2 linked regions of the Oreochromis niloticus genome follow. The protein of the gene in region 1 binds, or shares a complex with, the protein of each later gene. Links are inferred from orthologs where the notes say so. Each region holds a gene or a part of one and is shown on either strand. Other genes may lie near its edges.

What was found.
Region 2: the proteins of ormdl3 (region 1) and sptssa are in contact, whole or in part, in a cryo-EM structure (PDB 7CQI), measured with the Homo sapiens proteins. The link is inferred for Oreochromis niloticus from reciprocal best matches to the Homo sapiens genes ORMDL3 and SPTSSA. Residues at the interface, in NP_001307730.1 of Homo sapiens: Val36, Leu38, Ser39, Ile40, Pro41, Phe42, Ser44; in NP_612145.2 of Homo sapiens: Ile44, Tyr50, Thr51, Val54, Phe55.

Annotation. Positions count from the first base shown.
Region 1 is NC_031973.2:5,868,664-5,879,279, reverse strand, and holds the start of ormdl3 (ORM1-like protein 3), read right to left. Parts: upstream 4,564-10,616; 5' UTR 4,244-4,563; intron 3,678-4,243; 5' UTR 3,646-3,677; coding exon 3,472-3,645; intron 2,846-3,471; coding exon 2,694-2,845; intron 381-2,693; coding exon 245-380; 3' UTR 1-244. UniProt on the Homo sapiens protein: Plays an essential role in the homeostatic regulation of sphingolipid de novo biosynthesis by modulating the activity of the serine palmitoyltransferase (SPT) in response to ceramide levels.
Region 2 is NC_031983.2:4,404,259-4,415,249, reverse strand, and holds sptssa (serine palmitoyltransferase small subunit A), read right to left. Parts: upstream 5,498-10,991; 5' UTR 5,363-5,497; coding exon 5,260-5,362; intron 2,991-5,259; coding exon 2,887-2,990; 3' UTR 873-2,886; downstream 1-872. Other genes in the region: eapp (E2F-associated phosphoprotein), read right to left, coding at 7,210-7,498, 8,379-8,507, 8,621-8,735, 8,846-8,977, 10,632-10,810. UniProt on the Homo sapiens protein: Component of the serine palmitoyltransferase multisubunit enzyme (SPT) that catalyzes the initial and rate-limiting step in sphingolipid biosynthesis by condensing L-serine and activated acyl-CoA (most commonly palmitoyl-CoA) to form long-chain bases.

The sequences.
Region 1 (10,616 bases):
TTTTCCACAAATAATCACAACTGAACACTTTCCCTTTGTGCTCTCTAGTGTTTTGTGTCTCCATCCTGGGGTTTGGTACCATGGCAGTATGCTCAATAGGCTTTATTTAGAGTGCTGCTCTGCAGAGCGAGGCGCCAAACGACCACAGATCCCAATGGTTCTGCAGCCAAATCAGAAGCTTGATACTCTGTGTGCTCTCAGCAGTCCACAGGGACGCAGGAAGGAGGTGTCCTCTTCTGCCGTGTCAGTACTTATTAATCCCAAAGATCCTCACACCGTGCAGCTGGGGCAGCTTGGGAATGAGTACCGTGAGCAAGGAGACAGTGTTGACAACAAAATGGGCCCGATCGTATTTGGTGTAGAAGCTGGTTAATATATACCTGAATCAAGAATAGGCACAAAAAAAGGAGAAGATTACAATGAGCAAAGGACACAAATCTTATGTCTAGAGTTCTCTCTGCTGGTATGAAAGCAAGGCAGTCCGTTAAAAGCCTGAAGAAAACCACAATGTCTTTAGTAAAGGAAAATTCCTTAAAAAAATGTCCCTTTAAGTATAAAAAACCTTTCACTTAGTTTTATTCTGGCAATCACGCCCAGATGTTTCCTAATTCCCAAAAGCTGTGCCAGGAGTTGTTATGTGAGACCATTTTAACGTGCCAAACAACAGAATTACAACACTGGTTATGAGCAAATGAGCTGAAATGAGAATCTCTAAGCCTAAATCTACATTAGGCTTCCAAGCACCAACAAGCTAAAAAGTCTAATCTAAATCCATCTAATTTAATCCCAACACATGCATGTTAGGCTAACTGATGATTCCAATTTTGACGAGGATGAGAAGTAGATAAAACACTTAAAGTGATGTATGAATATGAGATGATTTATCTGAAGTTCGGGAGCAGGACCACATAAACACTCCCTTTTCGGTCTTATCTACAGATGCCTGCTTGTCCCACACAGCAGTTGTTCTGATTGCTCTCCCTCCCCTCTTCCTCTGTCTGCCTCTCTCAGAGGTTTCAGGGGACTTAACCGGCTTGGGAGCCACTGCCCATCCTCGAGAGGCCTCAAGAGGCCTTCCACACACTGCAGTCTCTGGCCAAGCTCTCTGTCTCATCATCAATAAACGTTTTTTCCATTTGCATTGGGGGTGGTTAGAATGGTCTAAAGAGCTAAGGCTAGATTTCATGTATAACACAATCTATTTGTTCATAAATAGTAAATATTCTATTACCTATTCAATATTTCTACATTCAGCGATGACACCTAATCAACATATCTATAAAGCTTGTGTTTATCACAGAAATGTTTCAACTTGCAACAATCTGAAAAATTATTTGTATAATTGAGCCTTCAGCCACAATTCAACCCGACCTGCGACATCATAAAAAGGCAAACAGAGTACAGTGGGTCTGCACAATAAAGGTATAAAAGTTTGAGGTTGGAGACATAATATATAATACATATTAAGATTCTAATGATTGTAAAGATTAGAGTCTACATTTACAACATAGTTCAACATCTTGCATGAGTGCAGTGGGGCATAATGAGGAAGATGTAAGCTAGTTTTTCTTATTGTAACCTCAGAGGAAACCAAAGTAAAATATGAGAAGTAAAAAACAAATGTTGTTATAGAGTTTAGCAGAATTCAGCAATGTGTGCATCTTATTTTACAGTTCTTCATCATGTGATCCTACACTTATTTTATTGATTTTTTATTATTTTTATTATGGCCCCCTGAGACCCCCGCCCCCCCAAAACCACATACATGTTCTATATAAACTCGGCTTGTGTGCTGGCTGTATGTTTGCAGAGTTGTGTTAATCCTGGTGAGATGCTGGGATAAATAAAACTATGCTGATTTAATATGAGTCGCACTTTTAGGTGTGGCAGTAAGGGGTTTTTGTTAAGTGAGAATGATGAATTGCATTTCCTGCTCTCAGCGGAACAGGTAAGGACATGTACAAAAACACTCCCAGAAGATTTCAGCAGATGTGTAGCCTTTACATCTGGAGTCTAAAGACTGACCGCTCACTTCTTCCTGCTGGCGCTGGTTACGAAACAAAATGACAAAGAGCCCCTTTAAATAAGTGCAAAAACAAAGTCCACACCTGCAAAAGCGCTATCGCTACAATGTTCGTGCTGAGCTGGCAAATAAACCCTGGGGAAGCAGAGTGCTTCCTGTAAACTGAACTGTGGTGGTTAATAAGGACAGAAAAAGGCCAAGAAAGCAGCAAGCGGCACTTCTGCACACACTGTGCCCCTTCTCAATGTGCAGGCTTGGCTAATAAGGGAGCAGTGTGTATGCTAATCAATCCACACTCACGCCAAAGGATAGTAAGCACTCAATTTTATAATGCAGCATACATTTTTCACTGAGGTATAAGTGTGTGCAAGTTCACTCAGAATAAAAGGTACTGGCATTGTGATTAAGCCACAAACACACAGGTTCATTCATAGCGAGCTGCTTGTGCTTTAGGCCTGTCACACACAAAATAGCTGATGGATGACAAGGTAGTGAGACATCATGTCCTTGTCAGAGAACTGATGACCTACTCTGGTTGTCATTTCCTGTCTACACTCTCCTTAGACCTAACATATTTGCTTCAGGTGTTGTCCCATTATATTGTCCTCTAGCGTTTTTTGGGGTCCTTAAAAAGCAGCACTAAACAAAAAAGCAGAGGAATGCAACTTACAGGACAATAGGTGTGATGGTGAGGAACTTGCGTGAAGCCGTAAACTGCACACCGTAGTCCATCTGCTCCCAGTGTGTAAGGAGGCGAGCTTTGCCCTGATCAGGGGTCTCGAAAGGTGTCCCTTTGACTGTATGAAGAAGCAGGTACATGCACTACAGAGAAGGGGAAAACAGAACACTGTTGTCACATGATTGCCACACTAGTGGATTATCGATATGTGAATACAAGTGCAAACTTTGTTCAGTACAAAATCTTCCAGGAAGTTAACTTACTAAGTTAAGGGCTTCCTCTTCTTCTTCTTTTAAAATAAATCTAAATCTGCTGTAAAGCTCATAAGTAAAAGTCGGATGTGTTCTCAATATTAGGAACACTTTTAAGCTGCATGATGAAACAGCCCATGCCTCAACTAGCAAATTCACTTGTGTAACCGGATCACGGTGTGGTTAATACTGCGCTCTTCTCAAGAAATGTGGGCCTGTCCAATTTGAAAAAGACAAAAAAAGGAACTATGAAAATTTGAAAAAAAAAAATAAAAAAAAAATAAGAAGCTTGTTAAAGAACCACCTCATTAACCAAAGGCATGTCTAAGAGCAGTGAAGCAGCAAGCAGTTATGTCTCTGACTCAGCTCTCAACTTACTCTCATTCACCACATCCTAAACCTCTTCACTCTGCTGCACGTGCCCTCGACTTGATTTGACCTGACTTGACCTAGTCAGTAAAGGTTAAGGCAAACCGTGGCTGTGCTGGTCCTTTGAGGGACACCACTACACCACTAACCAGATTATGGATGAGGTTGGTGAGGGTCCAGACCACGGGCACACTGGCAAAGGGGATGCTCAGCAGGATGATATGAAGGAGGCCGATGCCCAGGATGTAAGACAGCCACATACCCCGGCTGTTCATCACTCGGGTGTTGGGGTTAACCTCACTGTGTGCTGTTCCCACGTTCATGATGGCGGCGGTAAGACTTGTGTAACGGTCTCCTGAAACAAAAACCAAAGATGTTACCTTCTGACTATCTACAACCTCTAATGGTAAGCGGTAATATTTAAAGGGTTATACAGACACCTGTAGTGAACTCAACTAAAAGAAAATGAATCATGTAGCTTGGTTGCCCTTAAATGAAACTGCATAAAGGAAATAATGACTTTCATGTATTACTATGTATTGCAATAAAGCAACAGTGGGTTATATGATGGCTTTAACCTGACATCTGCAAGCCAATCAGATGCCTGTTGCCGTGGTATAAATGGAGAAAACATTGAAATATGATCAAATGAGATTTACACATTTTAAGAAGTAGCCTTGTGCGTGAATAAAAACTGCTGAGCAAGCTGGTGTCTGCTGGTTCAGTAGCAACTGATTGACTAGAGTAAACAATGTCGCAAGCGCTGATCATTCCAGCATGCTCTTTTGCAAGTTGTCTGGAAACATCACTGGAGACAATTGATCCTTAAAAAGATCTTGAAGTGAAGCATGAAAGCAAAAACAGCAAAAAACAAGAAAAGTTCAAATGCGTTGGGTTAATTAATGAAATCATTGCACTTACTGCAGAGAAAAATGGCTTCAACTCCGACCTTTACGGGCACTACTCCGTTATCACAGTTTTTCCGTTATCGATGGCTTCAGTTATGTAACTAATACTATCCCTGCGCGGCTGACGAGTCTGCGGGGCTTCCATTAGTCGCCCGGTTCCCCTCCTTCAGTTCCGAACGTGGCTGTAAGCCCTACGGTCCCCTCGTGAACACGCAATCCATCGAGACGCGTCCACTTTTCTTTCGTCTTCTTTTAGCCAACAGCTGGTGACAACACAGCACGGTCCACGGTGTTACGTCATCGTCGCTCTCTCACGGCACACGTTTCAGAGGAGTTTTTTTGCTCCTCGCAATTTTCAGTGATACGCTGTGTTCAAGTCACGTGAGCTTATTTAGCCAATCACAGCGTAGTGCGCTGAAAACACGTAGCTACGTCTCCCTGACGTCAGGGCAGAGGAGGAGCTCAGGGAAAAGTGATTGGCACTTATAGGCTACGTTTAATAACAAGAATCCTGATTTTAAAAACGAGGAAGTATAGTTTATACAATTAAATTGCTTATATTTTTATTTTTAAACAAACAAAAATAACTATCTAAATAAATAAATAAATAAAAACGTCTTAGTTCTGATGACAAAAAACTAAAATATATATATATAAAATAATTTTACTATTGTATTATTAATAAAATAATTGCCTTACAGTTGGGTATATAATACTAAATCCGTTTATAACAGCACCTTTAAGGTGCCCAGATGCTGACGTTAGTGCTGAATTGACCTGGAATTTAGCACATTGGGGACAAACAATATGGCATTTTAGTCAAATGCTACTTTCCCAGTTCCCTGAGTAAATTTAGGCAAATTCAATAAACATAAAAGGTTTGTTTCATCATCTTCTAACACACCTTCTATCAATAAATGTAGAAACCTTAAGTTAATGTTCTGTCTGGTAATAGTCTTTGGCTTTCAGTAGGAACACAACCTTAGTTTGGCCATTGGCTCCATCATTTAGTTGTTTCCACATTCCCCTAACAAGGAAGTATGCCTAGTTTGATCCAGTGAGGAGATACATATCCCTTAGGAGTTGTGGCGGGAAGGTCATCTGCTGTAAAAATCTGTCAATCTGGCACCATATTTGATGTGTCGTGCAGTGGCATCCCCTTGTGAATAAAGGAGCAGCTAAAAGTAGCCAGCTAACATACTGAGATTTGCATTTCACTTCTTGTTTTTAGCCCCAGGAGCTTTGTGAGACTGACATGCACTGTTTCACTTCATGTCGCTATTCACCACCATGTGAAATGTCAAAATTACAAGAATAAAGGCAAAAAATTCCACCAGTGTCATCCTGTTATAAGTAGCTTCATAGTCTTTATTGTTGCTGCATTTGCTTGTCTTTAAGGTATTTTCCATCATATTCCACTGAAATCTGCAAAGCTTTAGACTTGGTGACTTCCTCTGTTTGTTTTCCCCTGTTTGGCATACTGTAGCCAAGGCAGCAAGAGAGTGTGATGATAACATGCACATGATTTATGATGATGGTCTTTGTTCATAACCACTGGATAGCAGTGCCTTGGAAAACTAGACTAAATCAAAATGTTAGACACTGTCACAATTACAGGATGTGACAAAGGACAAAAAATATTGCAGGTCACCATACTTTCCCCCCATATCAGCAGAGTAAGAGTCTAGCCCCCCACAGCCCTAAGTTGGAGAAGCTGTTGAAGGGCTGTTTTTTTTAGAAAAACAAACATTTTATAAATATATGATGGAACAGAGAGATTAAACACAAAATTATCTAGAGATCATCCAGCAATGGATTCACTCCAGTTGCTACAGAAATTGGTCTTTAGACAGTTCTTGAAATATATTAGTACATCACAAGTTACCAATGAATCCATACATTCATCCTCTGCTGTTTATTAGTTATTTTTCTTTATATCTCTGGCTCTCTTCCATAGTGTTTCTTTGTCCTGTCTTCCTCCCCTCACCCCCAGCTGGTCACAATAGATGGCTGCTCCTCCCTGAGCCTGGTTCTGCTGGAGTTTTCTTCCTGTTAAAAGGGAGTTTTTCCTTCCCGCTGTCGCCAAAGCGTTTCCCCAAAGCAGGTCATCTTAATATTGGGGTTTTCGCTGTTTTTTCTGTATTATTGTAGGGTCTTTACCTTACAATATAAAGAATCTTGAGGCAAATGTTGTTATGATTTGGTGCTAGATAAATAAAACTGAATTAAAGTGAATATTCTGATAAAATCCCAATGACAGTGAGTCTCCACAGACACTACATTAGGTTTCAACAGGCTAGCATTTTGCCACAGTAACACACAAGGAGTCACAAGTTAAAACAGTATCAGCCACGCTCTCACAGCTGCTAAAAATTCCAAAATGGTGAGTAGCAAAATTTTTATACACACACATAAAAGAAAGCTCTCGATTCTTCATGTAGCCAAGATGAGAGGAGACCTTGCTAGAGGCAACAGTAAATGTCTAACGGGATCATACTGTGGTTTCAAAATCAAAAGATCAACAGTGTCGTGTTCTAGATCCCAAGATAAACCCATATACTAACTTTGGCCCACAGTAGCCTGAAGCCAAGGGGGTCATCAGTCCTCTGCTTGCATGAAATGTTATGTGACACCTACTGTATCCAAGGGTACCCCTGTGATGAGTGGCATCAAACGGGTTTAGCCGTCTGACAGTGGACTGTCTCGTGTGCTCATAGCCTTGGGAGTTATAGTTGTGTCAGATATGTAAACCTAGAGCTCTGCTCAAATGAGAACTATGCATGTCAGTGCTGTGAGATCATCTCTGGCACTGGAACAATGACCAAGTACATGACACTGATAAAATACATATAAGGAGGAGGGGGATAATGAAAGTACTCATCTGGGCACGTTTGACATCAAGAGATGAGTATTTCAGTGATTTCAGTAACACACACTCGTGTAAATGATGGTGCGGGTAAACCTTAATACCAAAATGTAATTAAGAAAAACAGGTTTTGTTATATGTTAAAATGCCATTTTAAATCATTAGCTGTTGGTTTAGTCCAGAGTGCCATTTAATAGTTGTCTTACAACTTTAGTTACCACTGATGATGATAGATCAAAGCTTCGGTGTCATGCGGTTGCATTCATTTCTCCACAGCTATAAATCTAACAGATGTTTAGACATATTCCTCTGTAAACTCCACTTCTCTACTCTTAGGGTTTTGCCTACGGCTCATTTAGCTAAGTCTTTCAGATGTAATGCGATTCCATTAATAGGATGCATGCCAGCAACAAGAGCTTTTAATGATGAGATGCATTTCATATTTCCATGTCTCCCTTAAGATGCGAATCAACTGTAAATTCTTTGCATGGTTTTAGCCAGGAATATTTTCTTCAAGGCATAAATCTGTATCCAATTATCATCCATAAGTTTACAGACATTACTGTAGCTCATGTGCATGTATTCTGGGAAGAACATTTTAACTAAAAAATGGGACAGGAAAAAAATCTGTACCCAGGAAGTTTACCATATATATTTGTTGTTGTCTGCCTTGAAATTCTGTTACTAAACAGTTCATGTAAATCATGTGTTATAGCATAGTTTAAACAATTAGTTGAATGCTTCTTTGTTTTTTCTACATTGTTTCAAGTCCAAATATTGCTCTGTAATTTGAAAAAAATCATAACCTTTTCAAAATGAAACTAGTGTAGCTTACATTAGTCATAAAATCAGGAATGAAAAATTGTAAGCAGTTATATATTCTGTGATGTGGCAAAAAATCAAACTCAAAGGGCCTACAAGTTGCATTCTTTAGTATATTGTGCCATATAATGTTATAATATCGCAGTTTAAGCTAAATCAGTCAAAGAATACACAGTCAGTTTGGTCCGTTTAAAAAAAGCTTCTACAAGGTTTGAAAAAGTCATTTTTTGTACATCTCTTGCTACTGATACCATAAAGATTAGTGAGTATTTGGCACCTGTATATTTCACTCATCAGACTGCAATATGCAGATAAACAGCAGCGTCTGATTGTAGAAGACCAGCAGATGTCACCATCAACACACTTTGAACTGGTTGCTGCCATCCTGGAGTCTGGACTGTGATGCTTCTACTCTTAAAGACACAACTGTGGAGGCATAGTGATATAATATGAGGTGTAATTATTAATTATCATAATTAAGTCCTGCTTTTTTCTGTCGTTCTGAGCAGCAAAGAAACTTAGAAGGTAATGAGCCTCTTCTTAGGTGTTTAAAAAGAAGTTTTTATATATAATGAATTCAATGCCTTTTTAAATGCCTGTCTAAATGCACGTTGCTTAATGATTACTCATGTCATAGGACCAGGTTTCCACTTTAGTAAATGAAGATAACAAGACTATAAGACTAGGCAATGCAAGTATGAGCTTTACACAACATATAAAGTATAATCTGTACTCATCACTTCTTCGAGAAAATGTGCGGGTTTACATTTTAGTTCATCCAGTATTTTGTATTTCCAGCACTTTCTAGACATCTACCAACTCGTGAGTTCAGAATCTCAGTGAATTGCAGCCACAAGGAAATTGTTCAAATGTTAAAAGGTTGATAGAGACTGTGAAAAAAGCACAATAAAATAAAAGAATTATAAAAATCTGGAAGCACTGCAGAGAAAGGATTTTGGCAAATCAGTGTCGCGCCTTTAATTAACGCATGGAGCAATGCTTTACCTGAAAACACAGAAATATCTAGCCACAAATACAGATATGTTCTTAAGGTCAGTGGTATTGGGGTTTTATGGCCTGTGGATGGGCTGCTTGTGACAGGAATGACACTGCCGGGGTAATTTTCTCCAGTAGGAGGGGTGGACTTGTGACCCAGGCAGGCTTGGATGATAGCCTCGCTGGAAAAGGCTGACGCAGGGAGTCCATTATTGCTCCTGGAGGAAGCGGAGGATTAGAACACCAAAGAATTTCAATAAAAGAAGTGTCTGTTTGGGGGTCGGGGAGAGGCAGAAGGATGGTGAAGGTGGTAGGGTGCTGGGGGGGGGGAGTTCCCCTCATTGTCCCAGCAGTGATTGAGAGCAAGAGGAGGGGAGTGGGACAGCATTGTGTTTGCAGCTTCTCTGAAGAAGGTGGTTATTAGGGGGGATGGCTAAAGAGGGGTGAGGGATGGGGAGGCTGTTGACTCTTCATCTTGTGTGAACAAAGTCTCTGGCACATAGCCCTCTTCTGTCCCTCTGTCCTGGACACCCTTGTCTACGAGTGCCATGAATTCTGTCCCTCTCGCCGGGGACCCCCACCAACTCCAACTTGCACCGCCGCACATTGTGGGGCTTAAGTGCCCTTTAATTAGGCCGCCTCAGTGTCCGGCTGAAGACCGCTGAGGGTTTAGGCTCTTCCCTGTGGGACCTTGCTGAGCAGCTCAAACACACCAATAGTGCCCTTCACACAGCCAAGGGATAAGTGTTTGCTGCTCTAATGAAAAAGATTTATTTAAGGGTAGGGTTCTCATTGCCCCCGACTTAAAAAGTCCTCACAATGGCCCTGATATTATCTTTAACACTGTTCCATTTCCAGGAAGCATTAGCAAGGTCTGTTAGACGAGGCAATCGCTCCACCACCGAGTGGCACAAGGCTGCCAAAAGACAGACAAATCAAGACAGTACACACAGTTTACTTCCTGTACAGACAGAACATACTGCACATTGAGCTCTTATTGAGGTTATCATCATGAGGTATTAATTAATCGGGCCCTTACTTCACAGATGGAGGCCAACGAGAATCTGTTTCCTGGACATTAAATTCAAGTGGAAGGTTTCAATCTCGCACGCACCATAGGTCAGTGTGAACCCACGCGAAATTATGCAAAGAAGCGCTAATTCACATAAATTCTCTCTTCCACGTATACAGCCAAACACATGTGCAGCTTTGTCATTGTGATGGAGCTTATTTCATTATCATAACAGCATAAAGCACGGGATCCAGAGTGCAAAGAGGGAGGTGGGCAAGAGGCATTGAGAATTTGCTGAACTACTCCAACAAAATGAGTAATTTCTGGACACCCCATTGTGTGAAGAGCTTACAGGGTGAGGGCTCTGAAAGGAAGGATACAAACATGGCAGCAAGTGAAATAAAGTGAAAGATGGAAGCAATGAGATGCAGAGAAGAAAAGAAATTTGTGAAGGGAGCAGGGCGGGATTGGGCGTGTTCAGAAACTTTTTCGCTACAGCCCAGTGTGTGTAGTTACCCTCCTAATCCTAGTTTTATTGGCTGCCTGTGTCCAGCCATGCCGGTCGGATTGAGTAGGGAGGCCAAAGAAGTGGGGGTGGAGGGGCTGAACACATGTCCTTCTTTGTGGTAATACGCTGATTAGGCCTGAGAAAGAGCCGGACCTGGTTACGGCCTTTCTCAGGTCACCGTA
Region 2 (10,991 bases), on another chromosome or scaffold:
ATTTATCAGACAAGACCTGATAGTGGCGATTAGTATTTGTCAAAGTTTTAGATGAAATGGTGAAACTTCAGATTTGCTGTAATTCAAGACCAAAAAAGAAGCAAAATTTCAGCTTTCATAAGTTCTTTCTTTTTTATGGGTCTTTTAAATGAACCATAAATTATTTAGTATTTTATATTACGAATTTACTTTAAAAAGTAACTCTATAGCCCATGGGGCAGTTGACTCAACGATCAGGCCAATGGTAAAAAAATCATAGTAAAAAACTTTTAAACAAAGAATAATAATACTCAAGTGCAGTAATCTTACCTTAAATTTGTACTTCAGTTTATAGGAAGGTTGATTCTGTTCATCTGGATGTAGCGATTTCAGTGGGAGAAACGTTTCATCACTCATCCAAGTGACTTCTTCAGTCTCAGCTGACTGCAGGTTTCCCCAACTTTATAAACAGTACCTTTGTACAATGACTGAAACTAGCTCACTGAATGAATAATGGGCTGTAAGGTCAGTTTCTTGATAATTAATGAATTAATAATTAATGTGCAAATGCACTGTTTATAGGGTTGGGGATGATTGAGCATGCATCAAGACCTTCAGTTTATGTAAATACTCATAAACATGTTTACAAAACTTTGATGATGAAATCCACAAGATCCACTTCAAGGCTTTCTTTTTTTATTGACGAAAGTCTTGAATGGACTGTTTACAATAATAGTTATATTCATTGATAACAATGCAACTGCGTTCATTCTTGTTTGGATTGCAGGAGCAAAAAAAAAAGACAAAAAGAAAAGAAAAACCATAGAAACCCTGCCATCTAGTGGCCAACATTGACAAGTGCACGCGAAGGATTGAGACCAAGTGGAACAACCTTAGTTCAACATCCCTTTAATGAGTTCAGTCATGTAGAAGAAGAAATAGCTCACAAAAACAAATAATTCCATTTACTAATATATTTGCCTATAAAACTTTACAAATATGTATTTAAGGTTATATATACATAATTAGAGAAAAATACATCATTTTGCAAGGAAAAGGGATCGTAATTCTTACAGGAGTAACATTGGCAATACAAATACACAAAATATTTTCACATTAAAATGTATTTTCTCTAACATTTCTGTGCTGAAGAAACTCTTAATGATGACCACAGTAAAATAAACTTGGGATAATTGAGCACTCTTAAGCATAAAAGGGGACACTGCTGGCTTTTCAGAGCAATGCATATGTTCAAGCACATAAAACCACACGTTACTATCTCACAGCCTCAAAAAGGAAAAAAATCGCTTCAGTTTCTCAGTAGATCAAAGTGAATTTACTAATATTGACTGTATAGGTGTTCTTGGTGTACTCTAGTTGCTGCAGTTCCATTGGTCTAAATTAGACTTGGCAGCAGATTAAAATCAAGCTTAACATCTCTACATTTTCTGCATCACCAAATTAATACTTGTGTCATTATGACAATGAAACTTCATTCAGTAGTTTGGAGGTGTATTCTGTGCAACTGATAACTCTATTTGATTTGCAGTGATGACAGTAAAACAGCAGTACCTAGTGGAGGCAGAACTGCTGTACCCAAAATCAAACCTTGTTAATTTGGCTTACAGCAATAAGGGCTGGAGTGTAAAGTTTTTTTTAAAAAAAAGGATAACAAATGGATGTGTCAAACACAGCTTTGTTGCAGCAAGTTCACACTGTGATGACTATTTATTTGATCCCTGGAATTTTAAGTGATTACAGTGCCACTTAAAAAAAAAAAAAATGACAATGTGTGTGGAAGGGAAAAGAGACAACTGAACAATATTGAAATAATTTATGGGGAACAACCAAATTTGGAATACGGCAAATTGAGTCAACTCATGTCCACTCAAGACCTTCAGGTGGGCAACAAATCCTTTAAAAGTGGGCAGGTGTTTTAGACCAAGATTCTCTAAAATGCCCAGACTGCTTCATCACACTTACATTCTGACCCAGCTTGGACTAATGGGATATGGATGAAAGTCCTTATTGTAGTGATGGAAGTAGAAATAAAAGCATTTATTATAGATCTGCATCTCCAACGTGGAGAATAAATCACTCATTTAACTCACTGCAAGTGCATTTGATTTGAGAGGAAGTCACTGAAAGTTACTCAGCAGTTTAAGTCATGCCTTTGACCTGTATATTGTAAAAGGATTAACCTTTTGACTGAACCATCTGATGATGCACACGATCAACAGTTACAGTGCCCGTATGTACAAACCATAGCATAAAAGCGATGGGAAATAGTTAAGGTGGAAAAGAGTTTCAGTTCCTAAGAGCAACAACTTGACAGCTTGGATTGAGAATCAGGTGCCCTCCGGATCTGGTCCTGCTCAGAAAATTGTGTATTTTTTTATTCTACATATTCTGTCCATCATCCTGTGTCCCATCTCTGAATGTAACTATGACAACAACTGTTTTAGTGTATCAATGAATTTAACAAAGTAGTCCTCTTAACGTACACACATTAAGGCATAATTGAGCCGAGAGAGGGGGGGAGAGAGAGAGAGAGAGAGAGAGAGAGAGAGAGAGAGAGAGGCACAGCACAAAAAAACATGTTAACGTGAATCAAAACCAAGCGCACCCCTTTTCAAGGCTTTGCCTCCAAGCCCAGCACTGCTCACAATCTGAACGTCAGTAGCAAAGAAACAGTCGTGAGAACCGTTTCTTTGCCTACAGTGTCCAACAAAGTATCTGGCATGACCCTCACAGCCAGATACTTGACTGTTGATACGGGATCAGTCTTGGAAAGGAGAGAATTTCTGCTGCAGAACCCCAGAGGACAGCAGAAAGACAGGTGAATGGGGAGTAGGCAGATGGACTGACAGGAAGCCACAGACATACAGGACGATCCGGATCCCTGGATCACTGGATGAGTTCAAAGTAGTGCAAGATGGCCATGATGTGCTGTGGCATGAACACATAGCCGGTGTATATGGCCATACCAGCCACAGAGATCAGCAGGGAGTCTGAAGAAGAGAGGTTAAGGAGGAATTTCTGAAGACATTCAAGTTTTACTGCAGGGAACCACACACAAACTCTAACTGACGTGCCTTCATCAATCAGTAGCTGGTAATGTGCTTTACATCCAACAAACACTGCCTGCTAATGGATACAGGCTGGCAGCCAGTTACACCTGCATGCAAATGTTTGCCCACCAAACAGTCAGTGACCTATTTTCCTGGTTTGTGAATAGAAAATATATCAATACAAGCCCTGCAAAATGTTAGCTGGCTTGTATAACAGCTGTGGCTAAAGTGTAGACACAAAGTCTCATAATTTCAGTAAGGCAAGTCAAACTTTAGTTGTAGCTATTCTAGCAATTGGAAAGAATTTCAAACCCGTTCGGCAGGATTTACATTCCAGAAAGCAGTGAGAAAAATAAATAAATATTTGAAATAACTTTAAAACTATGTACAGAGATAGCCACAATAATGCTCTCAAAATCACTGTTGAGCATAAAGCATGTTTACATGCTCTATAATTACCTTGCTAATGTAAACAGGAAAGCAGACTGTTGCTAGAAAGAGGCCATCACTTTGCATTTGCTCAAAGCATGGTCCAATAGACATTTTCACTGTTGAATGTCCTTGCTGATAGCTATCATACAAGATCACCACTGCACAAAAAGGCAAGTTGCAGAAGGCTCTGCAGCTCTTATACTTGCTGCTTTCTAAAGGGAACATCTTCCAGTAGGAAAAAGTGACACTGTTGTCTTGCCTGACAAAATTACATGCTTACAAGAAAAATTAGCAACCACATCATACACACATCTGAAAGCTTCTGGTTCTTTGAGGACAGAAACTGCTGCTTTTTATCATCTTACATGATAAATATACATTTTTAAGTTATGACTCAAAAAAATCTTTTACAGTACCGGGAAACTTTAGGTGGAGGAACTTCAGTGTTTATTTTTGTTCCATTTAGCTGTAAATGTTGTACAAAACAGATTTTAAACTTGTGACAGGATGTTTTGCAATGAAAATAACCTTGGAGGTCACAGCTCTCTACAGAACTGTACACCTTTGACCTTCTATCAAGTGACCATATATTTCCTAACAGATTTGTCAACCAAGAAATTTTGTCAGTCACTGACATTTTCCAACACTCATTCACTTGTCCTTCCTGATAGGAAAAGAAATAGGAAAAAAAAACCCAAACCCTCAAATACTTATAAAACCTACATTCAAGTACAAAAGTCTCATCAGCCACTCGAAGTTAAGTTCATCTTGGCCATAATCCGCTTTCTGTAGATCAACAATAAAATAACCCGTGTGATCCCTGAGCGACTGCGTTACGTTATTTGATGAGATGCAGGCTGATAAAGAGCAGGAAGACACACCTGATCCTCGGAGGGAGACGAGCTACACCCTGACAGTGACGCCAACTGTAGGAAGACGATACATCATGCACAGAATGTGATACTGATGACTTCCTGCACTGCCACAGATCAAAGTGCAGTCATAAAACCATCAACAGGGGGTACCCTCTAATTATTAACTTCGCTCAGTTAAAATTGTTTGCGCTTTTTAAAAACATAAAATTAAAATAAAAGGTCATACGTAACGTGTATGTACTTCACGCGACAATCACCTGACCGACTCTCTTAAGTAGCTGAAGCTAGCTTAGCTTTGATGCCGCCCAAAGAGTCAACTAACCGCACACACACTGGACTTGAAAGCTTGTTTTCTATATGAAAGGAAAAGTACACAGCACTACAACAAAGTGTGAAACAATCTTTAGTATAATAATGAAAGGAATTTGACGCTTTAATCATGGCTGTCACTACAAACACGTTTCTTTATGTTATGTCAAATAGGTTATGAACTAGGAAGCGGTTTAGATATTGTCAGGCACACACAACTTCAGTTTTCATCCGTTTCTACACAAATCAATCACAGGTTAAAACACATAACTTGTAGAATAACATTTAAAGCCGTCTCTACAATGTGGCGGACGAGTGTTCAATTCAGAATTGGCTAAGCTGTGAACTCTTTAGGTTTCAACGATAAGAAGGGCCGACTCGGTCTATATGCCGAATTTGCCATAAATCACCGCTCGTGTGTTTAAATGCTGTAAATGGTTTATACAAAAAAAGTGAAGCTATGTTTACTTTTACGTAAAGTTAGCGCTATCAGTGAAATATCTAGGTCAGTCAGGCTAGCGTTCAGCTAAAGTTAGCAAATTAGCTAGGTCGAACATCCCTTCAGAAGCCACTTCAACACGGAAAAAGGATACTGAACACCGTCCTCTCCCAGGGCTCCAGCATGTACAAGGCTGTCACCAGAAGATACTGGTAATAAAACCAGGATAACTGCTTCCAACATTCTCCAAGTGCCATGGTCCTAACTTTTAAAATGAACTTTGTTCCTTCCTCACGGCTCTTATCCTCTTTATGTTTCGTGCTGAGGTGTTTTCTGCTCGCGTAAGGTTTAATCGCGAGGCGCTGGTTTCCGGCAAATCACAACTCCGCGTTCAACCGTATGATTGTGACGCAGACCAGGGTGTTCCACCTTCCTAATTTCAAAATAAGAGTCAAAAACAACTTTTAACACCACATAAAAGATGCATTTATACACTATTTTTATTTGCTTGTTTATCTTTACCTTAACTGTGTGCCCATCTCTTCATTTAGTGTATTTCCTTCCATTAAGCATCAAATATCTTGGTTCTTTAAAACAGATTTCGAGTCACCCCCCAAACCAAAGCGCTCTACTGACCCAAATACTCACTAAAGCACTAAATGTGGATTATTCCATGGCTGAATAGATTCCCCAACAAAATGCTATACTCCCCAGTTTGAAGAACATTTGCGTAGGAAGTACAGGTATTTATGAAATCAGTTAACTACCATTTAAACGGCAGGAATCTATATTATGATCATGCCAACAGTGTATAAGTGAGGCAGACAAAGCACTGTTTCTATGCCTACAATTGTGATGGACATCAGAACATTTACTTACCGAAGCCATAACTGTAGCAGCATATACCGAAAATTACCCATCTCAGAAGAGATTATTTGTCAATGTTGACAAATAATTTCAAAATCAGACATGAAAAAGAAAAAATGATGCAGCCTTTCAAAAGTTTCAGAAAACTGTATTCTTTGTATTAAATTTTTTTTTTTAAAAAGCAGCAAATGTAAAACTTTTAGAAGTCTCAACTTTCAGTGTCAGTGTGATTTAGTCTATATTATTTATGGCCACAATTACTAGACAGGCCAAATTAGCATGATGGCAAAATTGCAAAAATACACTGATGGTAGTAGAAAGTTCTGTGGTTGCTCTACTAACAATGCACAATAACGACCAGCATTGTAACTACAGCGGTGTAAATTGGTTGAAAACAAGCAGACACTATGAGTGTTGAAGTATTCTGCTAACAAAATAACACAAAATCTAATAAAACAAAGCACAGGTTTGATCATGTTCTTGTTAATAGAAACAGCATTGTAATTCAGATTAATGAGGGAAGCTAAAGGAAAATCAATGTTTTAATATAGGGGCTAACTAATCCTGTCAGAAATTGCTGAGGAATTTGTGTAATCATGTGGGAGGAGGTGAGGTGCAGGATTCATACAGAGGAGACCTGCACTATGAAATCTAAATGCAACAGCTGACCTGTACCTTAATAAATCAGATTTGTGTGACCAATTTAAACATTTGTGCTCTTCAAATTACACACGCAGTAAGACAAGCCACAAAAACACTGGAGTCAACGCCAATAGGTTGTGTTCAGGCACAGCACTTAAAGTTTTACAGACATGAGCTGGGACAATTTTTCTAATCCTGAAAAGAATTTCATTTTAGTTATCTGTGGAACAATGTGTTCAAAATATGGATGATAAACGTGATCAGGTGAAGCTTTACACACAGACTGATTTGCCATCTCAGCCGTGACACTGAAGGAAAAATCTAGTAAAAACTGTTGTAACTGCTGTAAACACAACACTGACAAGTTATCACTGGCGCCATGATCTTATTTGCAAAAAAAAAAAGAAGATGGACATTTACACATCCTGCAAATACAGAACAATAACAGCGTTAATTTAAAGTGATGAGCACACGTCCAGTGTTCACTCCCCTTTAGCTCTGCTTTGGTGAGCATTTTTGGATATAAAGACACTGATCTGAGCCACGAGGTGTGAAGCCAGAGAAAAAGTCCAGCTCAGAGCTCGTTCAGTCCTTATCAGCAGTGGCTGGCCAGGATGTTGAAGAAGTGGTAGACCTCATCTTTATCGAACACGGCCACCTCAGTGGAGCACTCAGAGCACTGTACTGGGTGGTACACCTCATCAGCATCCATCCCCATTGCTGCTGGAGTCTCATCCGCAGGCGTTTCTGTCTGCTGTCCCCTCCTCCTCTTCCTGTTCCTCCGGTTCTTCTCCTGCTGGTTTTTGTAACGCAGCACCTCCTCTCTCTTGACTGTGCAGTTCATCACAAACATTGCTCGATACTGCGTCCGGTACTTCTCGTGCCTGAATGGACCCAACAGAGACGTGTCGTTACATTTTAAAATGACAAAATCTCTATAGTGAAAATTTCTCATTGGGCAGGCAGATAATTTTCAATCACTTCAAATCTTTCTTTAAAAAAAACAAAAACAACAAACAAAAAAAAAACTGATCTAGAGTATAAAATGGCTCACATATCTTGTGTTGTCAAAACAGCTTTCACTGTGATACTATGATCCCTAATCCAACAATACGGGACAGGGACATGTAATGGGAGTTGGGCAATGGCCCGTTGGCTCTCCTTAGTCAGCAATAACTAGTTTTTATTAATGTTTTCATCACATATTTAATCATTCCAGCTTTTCAAACATGGGAACTAGTCCTGTGCATATATGAAAACATGGGTGTAGCTTTGGTGTCACATTAGGAATAGAAAGCGGCTTTATTGAATACAACATGATGTTGTTCTCAATCACAACTTGTGACCTCAGCTCTCCTGAAATATCTTGCATGTGACACTTTGGCACGCTGTGCATAAACAAGAAAAAATACAAACACTGCAAAACAATCAAGAATATAAGAAATCATGACCTCTGGAATATTTGTTTCAAATGAAATGAAAACTTTTCTAAAAAGTCAGTATTATTAAGTTCTAGTAGTTTTCCCTATGCTGGACTGAATCTCCACCATGTAGGACATTAAGCATGTTTTAGTGTGGTAAAAAAGAAACTAACACTCTTGGCGATTATCAGACAGGGTATATGTAACACTACTCCATCATCAGTCAGACTTTCTCAGATGGATTCTGCTCTCTGATCTCAGGTAACATTAGGCCGACACCTTAAACTGCTGCTGGGTTAACACAGGGATCCACACTGTTCTGAAACCTGCTGTGGAGCCTCACCTCTGACAGTCCAAGCAGAGTGTCGTCATGCATGCGGGACAGTTAAGAACAGCGTCGCTGTGGGGTAAAGCCTGAGGGTGGCGAAGCTTTGAGTGAAAAGCTGCAGCAGGTCGTTTTCTTCTGCTGTACCTACACAGGAAGGTAAGAGGCAGAATGAGTCTCTGGAGGGAAATTTTTTAAAAAAAAGAAGCAAAAACATCTGGTGGCATGTGTTTTAGAAATTGTAAGAGAATCTGTGTTACTCTCTCCTCCTGGCGTCAACCCAGGCCTGGTCTCTGTCATCCTGGTCGGGGTCGTACAGCAGCTCGTCATTGGTCGGAATGACCCGCTGTCTCCGCCTCTGGCTTGTGGAGCTGCCTACAGAAGAAATTTCAAAAACTGTTAGTGGTAGGCTGTACATGTACTCTGTCATCTAATGACATCTTAATGACTGTTGGTAACCACAGCAGGAAAACCAGTTCTCTTACTCGGTGTGCCGTCTTCCTCTGAGTCAGAGTCAAAATAAACCTCATCATACATCTGTGGGTTAGAAAGTCCAGGACCACCACCAGCACCTCCTCCCCCTTCTTCTTCTCCTCCTCCTGGTCTTTTTGAGGTCTCTACCAGAGAACAAATACACAACTCGTAAGCACAAACTGTATTTACAGAGACGGTCTGTCTCACACAGCAAGATAAGTTAGTTAGTTAACCGTGGGATTAAACTTGGCTTCTTCCTATGTCAACACACTACTCTTCCTAGTACTTGTTTTGTTTGTTGTATTGTTGAGCTTATACTGTGTTCCAGATACCTTAGATGTCGGAACTCAGGAGTGATGTCATTCCCGAGTGCATTACAGTATAAAATTGTAAAAGTGAAAAACTAGGAACTTCACTAGAACTGAAGAAGCTTCTTGGATGAGAAGTGAAAAGTCTTCAAGCAACTTAAAGAAGACCAGATGCTTTTCTTTCCAAGCTCCTTAGACTACGATGACCTGGATTACTGAGAACCTTCACAGACACACAGGTGATTATTTTAACATATTTTCATTAAAAATGCTCCAAACAACAACATCACAAACACTGTCAGCTCATTCAATGACTAGAATTAGCTAAGATTAAGCTTAACACACAGCTTTTGGCTATAGCTGCCATCTAGAGCTGGGCGATAAAACGATAACGATATGTATTGCGAAATAACTTTTTCTCGATAGAAAAATTAAACTATTGCGATAGGCCTCATCTCTCTTGTCCTCTTAAAAAAAACAAAAAAACAACAGCCAATCCAAATTAAGTAGCGCAGAGCCGAACCAATCACAGCCGCAGCGTCACGTCACGTGACTTGTTACGTACAGCACAAGCGCCAAGGCGCACATGTGTATTTGTTTTTGCAGCCGTGCAGCCCAGGTAATGAAGGAAATGAGTTTGCCGACTAGAGAAAAATCAACCGAGAGCGTGAGCGAAGGTTACCAAAGAAAAAACAGATGATGGTTCCAATGCCGGAGAGCTTGTCGAACGGAAGGGCCACAGAAGTTCCGTAGTGTGAAGGTATTTCGGCTATTTCAAGTCTGACAAAAAACAGAGTAGCGCGCACTGTAAATTGTGCCGAAAGCAAGTCTGGAAATACAATAAAGCGGTGCATGCTCAATCTCTGACTGAAAGCGCTAATTCGTCATTCGGCTTTTGTCAGACTAAAGTAACTGTTAAAACTGTTTGAAAAGCTAAGCTATACAACAAGGAGAGATTGAGAATTTTCTTTTAGTTCTCAGTTTATTTGATATTGACAAAAGTTAGTCAATTTTGTCTGTTCTTCTGTAAAACAACCTAAGATTTATTTTTAGAATTAATATTTTGTTTCTAAGTGGAATTGACAATTTAGTAGTCTGTTTTGTTTGTTCTATTTTGAAACTTAAATGCTTTAGCGGCTGCGTTTTGTGTAGTTTGCAATATTTGCCTTTATTTATCTGAAACTGAAGTCTCATGTTCCTTAAGTACATCTGCCCTGTTAAACTTATTATGGGAAATAAATATTTTAATTAAAACAAGCTGCTAATTATTTCACATTTTACTTGTGAGCAACGGCACATTTAAATCTTACAAATATAGTTATTTGGCTTATATCGTGAAATATATCGTTATCGCCTGAAATGAAAAAAACATATCGTGATATGAAAAAAATCTTATATCGCCCAGCTCTACTGCCATCTAATCAGTTGATAGCAAAGTAATTCCAGACATATCACTATGAAAATACAAATACTAGCAGCTGAGTGTTACCTGCTGCTGGTACCCAGGTTCCCTGCATGGTCTTGATGGTGGAGCTGAGCTCTGCCTCCATCTCTTTTTCAAAATCATCCTCGCTGGATGACTCGCTCTCCCCGGTTAGATACTCTCTGATCAGCTTCTTTTTCTGGTCCGGAGTCCCGTTCAGGAGCACGTCCAACTCATCCTCCGAACTAAAACAGAGAGAAAGATTTCAGAAAAAAAAACAGACTCTCAAACCCAGGAGATTACTAAATTGAAGTAACCATTCATGTGTTATTCTGCACATGTGACATTATATCATGTGGTGGCATCGTATAGTGTTTAACAGACCAAATAATTAAGCACTTAATTTTGGAAACCATTAATCCACGT